Oryctolagus cuniculus: one gene and its partner. The protein of the gene in region 2 interacts with the protein of the main gene of each other region in a pairwise test. Links are inferred from orthologs where the notes say so. Each region holds a gene or a part of one and is shown on either strand. Other genes may lie near its edges. The genes, in order: ARL14EP and SETDB2.

Evidence for each region.
Region 1: the proteins of SETDB2 (region 2) and ARL14EP interact in binary tests that used the Homo sapiens proteins (3 or more experiments, as listed by UniProt). The two-hybrid records come from large-scale screens. The link is inferred for Oryctolagus cuniculus from reciprocal best matches to the Homo sapiens genes SETDB2 and ARL14EP.

The regions. Positions count from the first base shown.
Region 1 is NC_091432.1:35,796,214-35,800,450, reverse strand, and holds the start of ARL14EP (ARL14 effector protein), read left to right. Parts: upstream 1-1,169; 5' UTR 1,170-1,318; intron 1,319-4,237.
Region 2 is NC_091440.1:68,750,616-68,755,027, reverse strand, and holds the start of SETDB2 (SET domain, bifurcated 2), read right to left. Parts: upstream 3,032-4,412; 5' UTR 2,848-3,031; exon of another isoform or gene 2,498-2,847; 5' UTR 2,382-2,497; intron 1-2,381. UniProt on the Homo sapiens protein: Histone methyltransferase involved in left-right axis specification in early development and mitosis. Specifically trimethylates 'Lys-9' of histone H3 (H3K9me3).

The DNA of each region.
Region 1 (4,237 bases), on a different chromosome or scaffold from region 2:
CACTTGTTTGTACCCCTAAGTGTTTTCCCTCTGCTTTTCACTGGATATTTAAATTGGCTCAATAAGCCATATTATTCAAGAATCTTAATTTGGTCTGTGAGCCTCCTGATCCATTACCTCTACGACAATTTGCCTACTAGTTTATTTGAAGCCTTCCTGTTGCATCGAATTAGTTTCTCATTTGACAGTCCAATGCAAGTGTTAATTTACTTCCAGAATGCCCCTGCTTTAGTGCTTCTCATTTTATCCAGTTCATAAACCCGAGTTGCTATTGTGGAATTTATCACTCTACACTGATTAACTGTTTACCCTTTTCTCTCACTAGTCTATCAGCTATAAAATAAATTTTATATTTCTTGTCTCATTACTTAGTAGCAGACACTCTTGAGACACACTGCTTTTGTTTTTCTCTATTTCCTAGTTCTAAAATTGGTTGGGGAGCAGTTTGAAAGTGGTGCAGAGAACCATAGGCTCAATGGCAAAATCCAACCTTTTCGTAGGTGGACACATAGCATAACCAGCAAGCTGGGGCCTAGGACCTTATTTGCCTGTCTCTCCCTTTTCACAGGCAGGTTAAAACAATAGTTCTTGATGTTGTTTCCCTCCTGTTCCTACCTTAAAATAGTTAACCGGTCAAAAGTTCGGTCTATGGCACTTTGAGCACACAATGATTCCAAGTGAATCAAATTCACCTTAAAATGGCACCTCCAGGTGGCAGACAACACAATTACATAAAGGATAATGTCTCTTCCCTCAGAAAACTTACAAGCGTCTTCCTGGATCCTACATCTTACTCAAAGTAACAACTATTTTTATAACATAATTTTAAAAGTGCAAGTTGTGATATATTCTGAGATCTTCTATCCCTTAAATCAAGGGTCCTTCCTTGAAAGCCTTTTAACTCATTCACTCTCCTTCAGGGGTTAGGCGCATTTGGGAGCAAAAGTTTGGTAACTTTGCGAAGACAATCCCAGTCAGCTGCACGTGTATTTCGTAAGAGAAAGTCCCCGGAGATTTTCCAATTACCTAAACTCGGAGAGGAGATGGCAAACGCGAGCCAGCGTCTGAAGCAACTATTGCCTCGTCTTGAATCATTTACCAATCCCGTCACCGCGCCCTTTCCGCCTCCGGAGGCCGCCCGGCTCTGTGCCGCTCTAGGCTTCTCTCGGGCTTCTCTTTATGGTAGCGCTGAGCCTCTCTAGCCTGCACCCACCATCCTCTCAATGGTAGCACGGAAACAAGCAGCAAAGGCGGGCCGGGTGTGAACTCTGGGGACACGGGTGCTTCCCTAACCCGGCGGAGGAGAGCTCAAGCTAAGGTACCAGGGGCCTGGGGACGGCTCTGGGAAGGAGTGGGGGGCACGAGAAGGGTTCCTAGGTCGGGAGGGAGACCGGGCGGCTCAGGGAGGTGGGAGCAGAGGCCCACACGTGAGGGGGATTCCAGCTGCCGCCGAAGGCCTCCTGCTACCTCCCGGGCTCTGGACCCTACCCGCGTCTTCACACCCACTTCCTTTAGGTCAGAAATTACCCCTGTCTCTGCCGCTGCCGCTCTCAGCCCCCGGCGATTGTCGCGAAACTCCAGAAACATTTTGGACCTCGCCGGCTTTGTTCTTAAGTCCCAGTCCTCTAGGCCTAGCTGTTCCAAACAGCTGTTCGGTGGAGGCGAAGGGCAGGTGATGTATTTTTTCATCCTAGCCTCGCGAACACGGGTGCCCAGTGGACGCATCTGGTGCTCTGAATAATCTTAATGTAGCTGAACTTGGGACGTTATGTGTATAACCACTGCAGAGTTGGGGTGGCGATAGTAACAGGATCCTGGAGACCTGGTCACGTTGATTTGGGGGGGATTCTGCCTTCTTGGTGTGAGATGTTGGCAGTTTCAGAACTTGTAACCACTCAGAAGACGTTGTCTATAGAGTACCTGTTTTGTGCCAAAGAGGCCACAACTGTAGGCAGGTCCTAGGGGATTCCTTAGTCCCACAGAGCATAATATATAATAAGAAAGACTAATAGTAACAAAAATAAATAAATAAATAAGCCCGTGATGAGTGCTAGGGAAAGGGAAGTTCATGAAGTCTCACATTGGTTGGAAGTTGAAAATAACACCATATAGCCCTTGCCTTCCAAAAGCTAAGAGGAAATAGAGAAGATGTTTCACTGTACTGTGAAAGTGTTGTGCATAACCAGAAAGAAGGACCTGTAATTGTATAGAGGTGAAGCTTCACCAGATAGGTAAAGACCATGGTGGGGCCTTAAAGGATATGGTAGCATTGCCTGGCGCAGAAAACCGGAGCTTTCCCAAGCAGAGAGGGCAATAGAAGGCGTAGTGTCAGATAACTTTGTAAGTAGTGTAGTTTGACCTGGAGTATGAGGGCATCACAACAGATAAGTCAGGTGTCTAGACATAGGAAGGAGTGAGTTTTTCATCAAAATGATTACAGTTCGGTTTCACAACCGCTTAGCTTCTTTGGTGTAAGTATTGTTTGGAGATCTTGGCCACATCAAGAATAAGGAGAGCCTTCTTCAGTCCTCTTGGTCTGGAAATAGCCTCTCAGTGTTGGAATCCCTCTTCTGCACTCAGTGATATTCAGGTCTCAGAGGGGTTTGGGAGCCTGAAGAGTGTGTTATATTGTCCAGAAAATTGACGGGAAAGTACCTGGGACAAAATACTTGAAAATCAGAGGGGAGTGCATTAGTTTGAACTTAAAGTATGAGGAGCTAATTGAGAGGAATTCTTAGTATGAAATAAAATACTGGTGGTTTTTTTTTGTTTTTGATTTTTTTTTTTTTTGGAAAATATGTTCATTCTGCAAATATGTTTTTGAGTATCAGACACTGCTGGACTCTGTAAGTAACTACAGCTGCAACCTTCAGTTTCTTTTCCTGTAACTACATAGTCAAGGTTGTTGTGAAGATTAATGAGATAATGTTTGTGCTTAGCACTATACCCGGCACTTACTGTGGCACTTTAACCAGATATTTTAAATGGTACCATGTATTATATTTTGGTTTTGAATTCTGTTTACCTCCCTTATTGGCCCTGAATCTTCCCACTCAGTTGGTGCCTACTCACGTGTAGCATGGATAATTAATATATGAAGATAATCATAAAAGCTTAACAGTTAAAATTTGCATGACTTTTGTGTAAATATGAGACCATAGCCAAAGCTGCTGATTTCAGTAATTGGGGTAGATGAAATTATTTTCATTAAATAAGAAATAGTCTGGGAAAATGCTTTTTAAATTGTTAAGACCCTATACAAAAAGAAACAATAACCCTAATTTTTTTCAAAAATGGTACACAAAAGCATTTTTCCATGAAATGTTTCTAGGCATGTGAGTGGACCTAAAAAGTAAATTCTTTTTTGTATAAATTTCCTGATAATGCTTCTTGCACCTTGGGGCAGGGAAGTCCTTTGAACTTCTGCCAAACTTAGGATAATATAGACAATTGTGTTGTTATCTGTAATTGTTATCTGTAGTTGTCCATTGTGGATGTATGTCTTAGCAGTTAACATGTCAATCAAGATGCCCCTATCCCATTTTGGAGTGCCTGGATTTTATACCTACCTCTACTTCCTTACTCAAGATTCCTCCTAATGTAGGCCCTGGGAGTTAGCAGTGATGGGAGACCTGGATTTAGTTCCCAGCTCCTGGCTTTGGCCAGGCCCAGTCCTAGTCCCAGCTGCCACCTGGGAAGTAAACCAGTTAATGGGAGCATTTTTTCATACTAACTCACTGCCTTGCAAATTTACAAAAATTGTCATGCAGGTTATTCCTACAGGTGCTTCTCCAAAAATTAAACTGATTGTAGCATGTGCCAACTGCTCAAAATAATTGTAAGCTCCTGTTTACAAGAGGGATGTTTTGAAAGACTGATAGGGTAATGACTATCTTGAAGAAGAAACAATTTAACTGCATTCTCCAATGAAGAGTCCAGGTTAATAGTGGTTTAATATTAATTAGAAAATTTATGGAAGGAAGAAAATTTATATTCTTTTCAAGAATGTCCAAGCAAAAACTTACTAGGAAAATTGACCCAAAATAAGTTAATCAGTTATGTTTTCAAGAGCATCTAAATTAACTTAGAAATAGGTATGTATTGCACTAGCACAAGTTTCAGAATCTGCTAATAAATTCTTGTGAAGTAAGCAGTGACTTAGCTAAGATTAGAAAAAAAGGGAGGGAGGGCGTTGTAGCATAGCTGGTAAAGCCAGCACCTGCAGTGCTGGCATCCC
Region 2 (4,412 bases):
TAGGAGAGCACTTCAAAAAAGTTCATGTAGGGGCCGGCGCTGTGGCATAGCAGGTAAAGCTATCGCCTGCAGTGCCAACATCCCATATGGGCACTGGTTCAAGTCCCGGCTGCTCTATTTCCAATCTTGCTCTCTGCTATGGCCTGGGAAAGCAGTAGAAGATGGCCCAAGTGCTTGGGCCCCTGCACCCACATGGGAAATCCAGAGGAAGCTCCTGGCTTTGGATCGGCTCAGCTCCAGCCCTTGCGGCCATTTGGAGAGTGAACCATCCGATGGTTCCTTCTCTCTGCCTCTGCCTAACAAATAAATAAATCTTTAAAAAAAAAAAAAAAAAAAGGCATGGAAAAATGGAGTTGAAAGATCTTATTTTAGTGCAAAAAAATTTGGAATTCATGCAATTTTTTCCTTAAATTACCTCTTCCATTAGCTTTTTGAAGATCTGTTTATTGGAACAATAGCAACAAAAAGGAAGCACAACTAACCATAGACACCAAAGAGATTTAAAAAATGAACAAGATATATAGTATCCAGGACACATAGTTTCTCAAATTATTAAGAAAAAGATGACCCAATAATCATATTAATATAAGATATTAATAATAGGGGAAGTTGGTTGTAACTCTTTGTACTACTCCACAACTTTTGTTTTGTAAAGTTAAAACTATTCTGAAATTAAAAGTTTATATAAAAAAGTATGCTTTTTAAAAAATTATAGAAATGTATATAAATTATAGGTGAATACGTATTAATAAATATTTGAGCCTTAAGTTACAGAATGACAATTTACAAATCATTTTCAGCCATCAGATGGGTGAAAATTCAGAATATCTGGTGTTGATCTGGATTGTGGGAAAACTGAACTGTGGAGGCAAATTTAGTATGACCTGCTAAAACTAATAATGCTTACAACTTAAAACCAAGCAATTCCATTTTCAGATATATATCCTTGAGAAACAGCACAGGAATAAAAGCACAAAAACTCCTTTTTTTGTTTGTAAGGTGAAAAACTAGAAATAACCTAGGGTGGTCCCCTTAAAAGCACATAACATAATTAAATATAAAAACCTATAGAAGTGTCAGAAATATTTTACATAAACAGAATAGTTCAATCATGGTATGCAGCAGGTAAAATAAATGGCCCGTAAGTAAGATGCTGAGCTATAAATAACACGTATACACTGGGAAAACACTGTCAAGTGAAGCAAAGTTATAGAACGCACCCTTTTCTGTTTCTACTTTGTAAGGATACAAAGAACCAGAAGGCTCTGACCTGAAGTCCTCAGGGGCACATGGCAGAGGGACAGGGTGAGGGGGCATTCAGGGAGCTGGATCATGCTCTTTCTCTGCAAGGGTCTAACTTGGTAAAAGTAGGATATAAAAGTGTGCTTAATTTGAAAAGTATTGCCTATTTTAAAGCCATCGAGAACATATCACCAAACTGCCTTTCAGAAAGGTTCTATCAACTTGGATTTTCATCTAAGCACTCATTAAAAGCCTTATTTTTGAAAAGCTCTCATCTGTCTTGTGTACACACAAAAGGAGATTTTGAAAATCACTGAATTTATGAAAACATGCTTAGTGAAGAAAACTTGGGAAATACAGTAAAGTATATAAAAGAGAATTGAAATCATTCACAATCTCATCAGCCACAGACAACCAGCGTTAGTATTTCAGAGAGACAGGGCTTTGAAAACTTGTTCACTTTTCCCCCCTTCTCATTTTTTCAATTTGGCAGAAAATTAATTAAAATCAGCCTGCTTCATTTCAAGACATGGTTCCCTTTTGTTTGTAAAAACAGGTCCCTAACCCTGTAAGTCCCAAGCTGTCAACTCTGCGCATATTTCAACGACATATCAAAGTAACCATTAACGGCATTGCTCAATTTAAGTCCTTAGAGACGTCCTATATATAGGACGATGGGCTGCAATGGCTAAGACAGCCCTACCAGATGCTCTCATTTCTTATTGTAATTCTGGTAACAGGAGAGAACGTTTATTGAGAATAAACCACGTGTCAGGCCAGCTGCTAAGTACTTCCCGCGTCCTTAGTGAATCCGCACAGCAACCCTGTGAGGTGAACGAGGTTTCTGATGGAGTTAAGGCACGTCAGAGCGAGATGACGGACGGTAAGAAACCGGGCAGCCCGATTTCCAGAGCCCACGTTCTCACCGCTCCACCGAACCCCTCTCCTCGGCTTCACCCACTCTAACACACAGAGCTCCCTGCTCATTTCCGCACGCCGAAGATGCCTGCACACCCACTTCCTTAACTGCTTATTGGGCTGCAGGTGCTTATTATAGTCTGGCGCTCGGAGGACCTAACCTCAACTCTGTGATCTTGGATGAATGATTTTCACATATTCAGGTTTGGGTGTAACCTTACCTGTGGAAACAGTGGTTAAACCTTCAAGTTCTGCTTCTGGATTTTAGCCTGCAGTCAGAAGCCAGCGGCTCAGGAATCACCACTTTTTAATAAGGTGTGCGCTGCAAGATAAGAGACTGAAACGGGGGCGGGGTTAGGGCTGAGAATTCAGAGCTCTCGCGGACCCCTCCGCACCCCGGGACTGCACCTGGGTGCAAAAGGAGGGTTGCATGGGCTGGGGTCGAGGGCTCCCCGGCGTTCCCACGTCCTCCCACGGCTCCGCAGGAACCGTCCGAGAGCCACACACACACACACACAGCGGGGGCTCGGCTGCTCGCCGCTAGTCAGAGGTGAGGGCGGTGCTCTCCCGGGAGGGATGGCAAGGCTAGGAGTCCCCGACGGGTTCGGCTACTTTGTCTCCACGCCGCCGAAACCCCAGGCCGCAGGTACCCTCTGGCGGGAAAGTAGTACTTCACCATTTACTAACCCCAAAACTGTGTCTCGTCGCCTCGCCTCAGCCGGGAAGTTAGTAGCAGCGCGCAACCGCTAAAGCTCAGGCCCTCTTAAAGCGCTCGCTATATGGGAGGAGTCGAACGCCAAGGTCCCCAGCCACAGGGCAGGGAGCCCATTGGTTTCCTTCCCCGCTAAACCCACGCATCAGAGGCGCCGCGCGCGTACCTCAGACTCCGGGGCGGTGCCTGATGCGCCGTCTCCTGATTGGCCGCCAGCGCTCTCTGCTTGTCTCGCGCTCTCGCGCTAGGCCAATCGGGTTATCCGCAGTTTGGAGGCCGGCTTCTCTGGTGTGGTGGCGCCGCCGCTGTTCCCTTCGGTAGGTGTGTGGCTGCCATCTTGTGTGTGGCTTGGGCTGGGCTCTTTGGGCGTTGAAAGCTCCTGTCGTGGCTTGTCTTTGAAGACGGGTGCTGGGGGAGCAATGGTAGAGAGGAGGGGCCTGAAGGAAACCCAGCTAGTTCTCACTTGCCCAAAAGGATAGATTTCCTGTAGTCTCGTCCCTGGCGAGGGAGAGCGAGGAATGGTGGTTATGGCGGGGGTGGGGGGTGGGGATCCCAGGCTTTGGTGTGTCGGTTATCGGGTTAGAGGAGGCTTTGATGCATTGATGCTGATTCTTCGGGCCCGGAGGGCTTTTGCAGTGACTTTCGTAGCGGAAAGATTCTGAACATCAGCCCCCTTTAGCTAAAGGAGGCTGGCTGGTGGGCTGCGTGATTCAGACAGGAACAAAGCTGCTAGTGGAAGGGGAGAGGGCGACGCCTCACCACTCAGGCTCCAGAGGGACCTCTTCCTTCTCTTTGTTATCGAGGGAAGGGCTGGGCTGCTTTGTTCCCTCGTCCCCTCGCCCGCCTCCCTACTCCATCAACCATCACCACTTCCCCCTCCTTTGTCGCCCTCCCTTTCCTTTTCTTTCTTCTTAAATATTTATTTACTTACTGAAAGGCAGACAAGGAGAGATCTTCACTTCCCAAATGGTTGACTGACAGATGGAAGCCAGAAACTCTATCCTGGTTCCCCACATTGATGGCAGGGGCCCTAGCAGTGGGCCATCATTGGCTGCTTTCCCAGACACATTGGCAAAGGAGCTGGATGGGAAACTGAGCGGAGCCTGCGCTCAGATAAGGGGTACCAGCCTCCGGATAGGTGGCCTAACCCACTGCACCGCAGTGCTGCTGCCTGCTGTGGTCTTTTCCTAAACAACAGAAAAAGGAAAGTGAAAGAATTGTTTTGCCCTCTTGATTTCCTGGTTTCTCTGTGTTGAAATGTATGTATTTTGGGGGTGTACCATGGTATGCTTGGGTACTCCTCACAGAATAAGGGAAGGATTCTGTATGGGAAAGCCCCTTAAGTTCTGTCTTCTTTTTAGGGTGGGAGGAAAGAAGCAGGAATTATGTCATTTTCATTCCAATTTTTTAAAAAGAATTTACAGTAGAAAACCTGTATCTTATTTCATTTGAGAGAAAATTTATCAGACCTGAAAAGCTGATTAAAGGCTATTTTGTGAATAACTAGCAGTTTTGAGAGGAATGAGAATAAAGTCAAGAT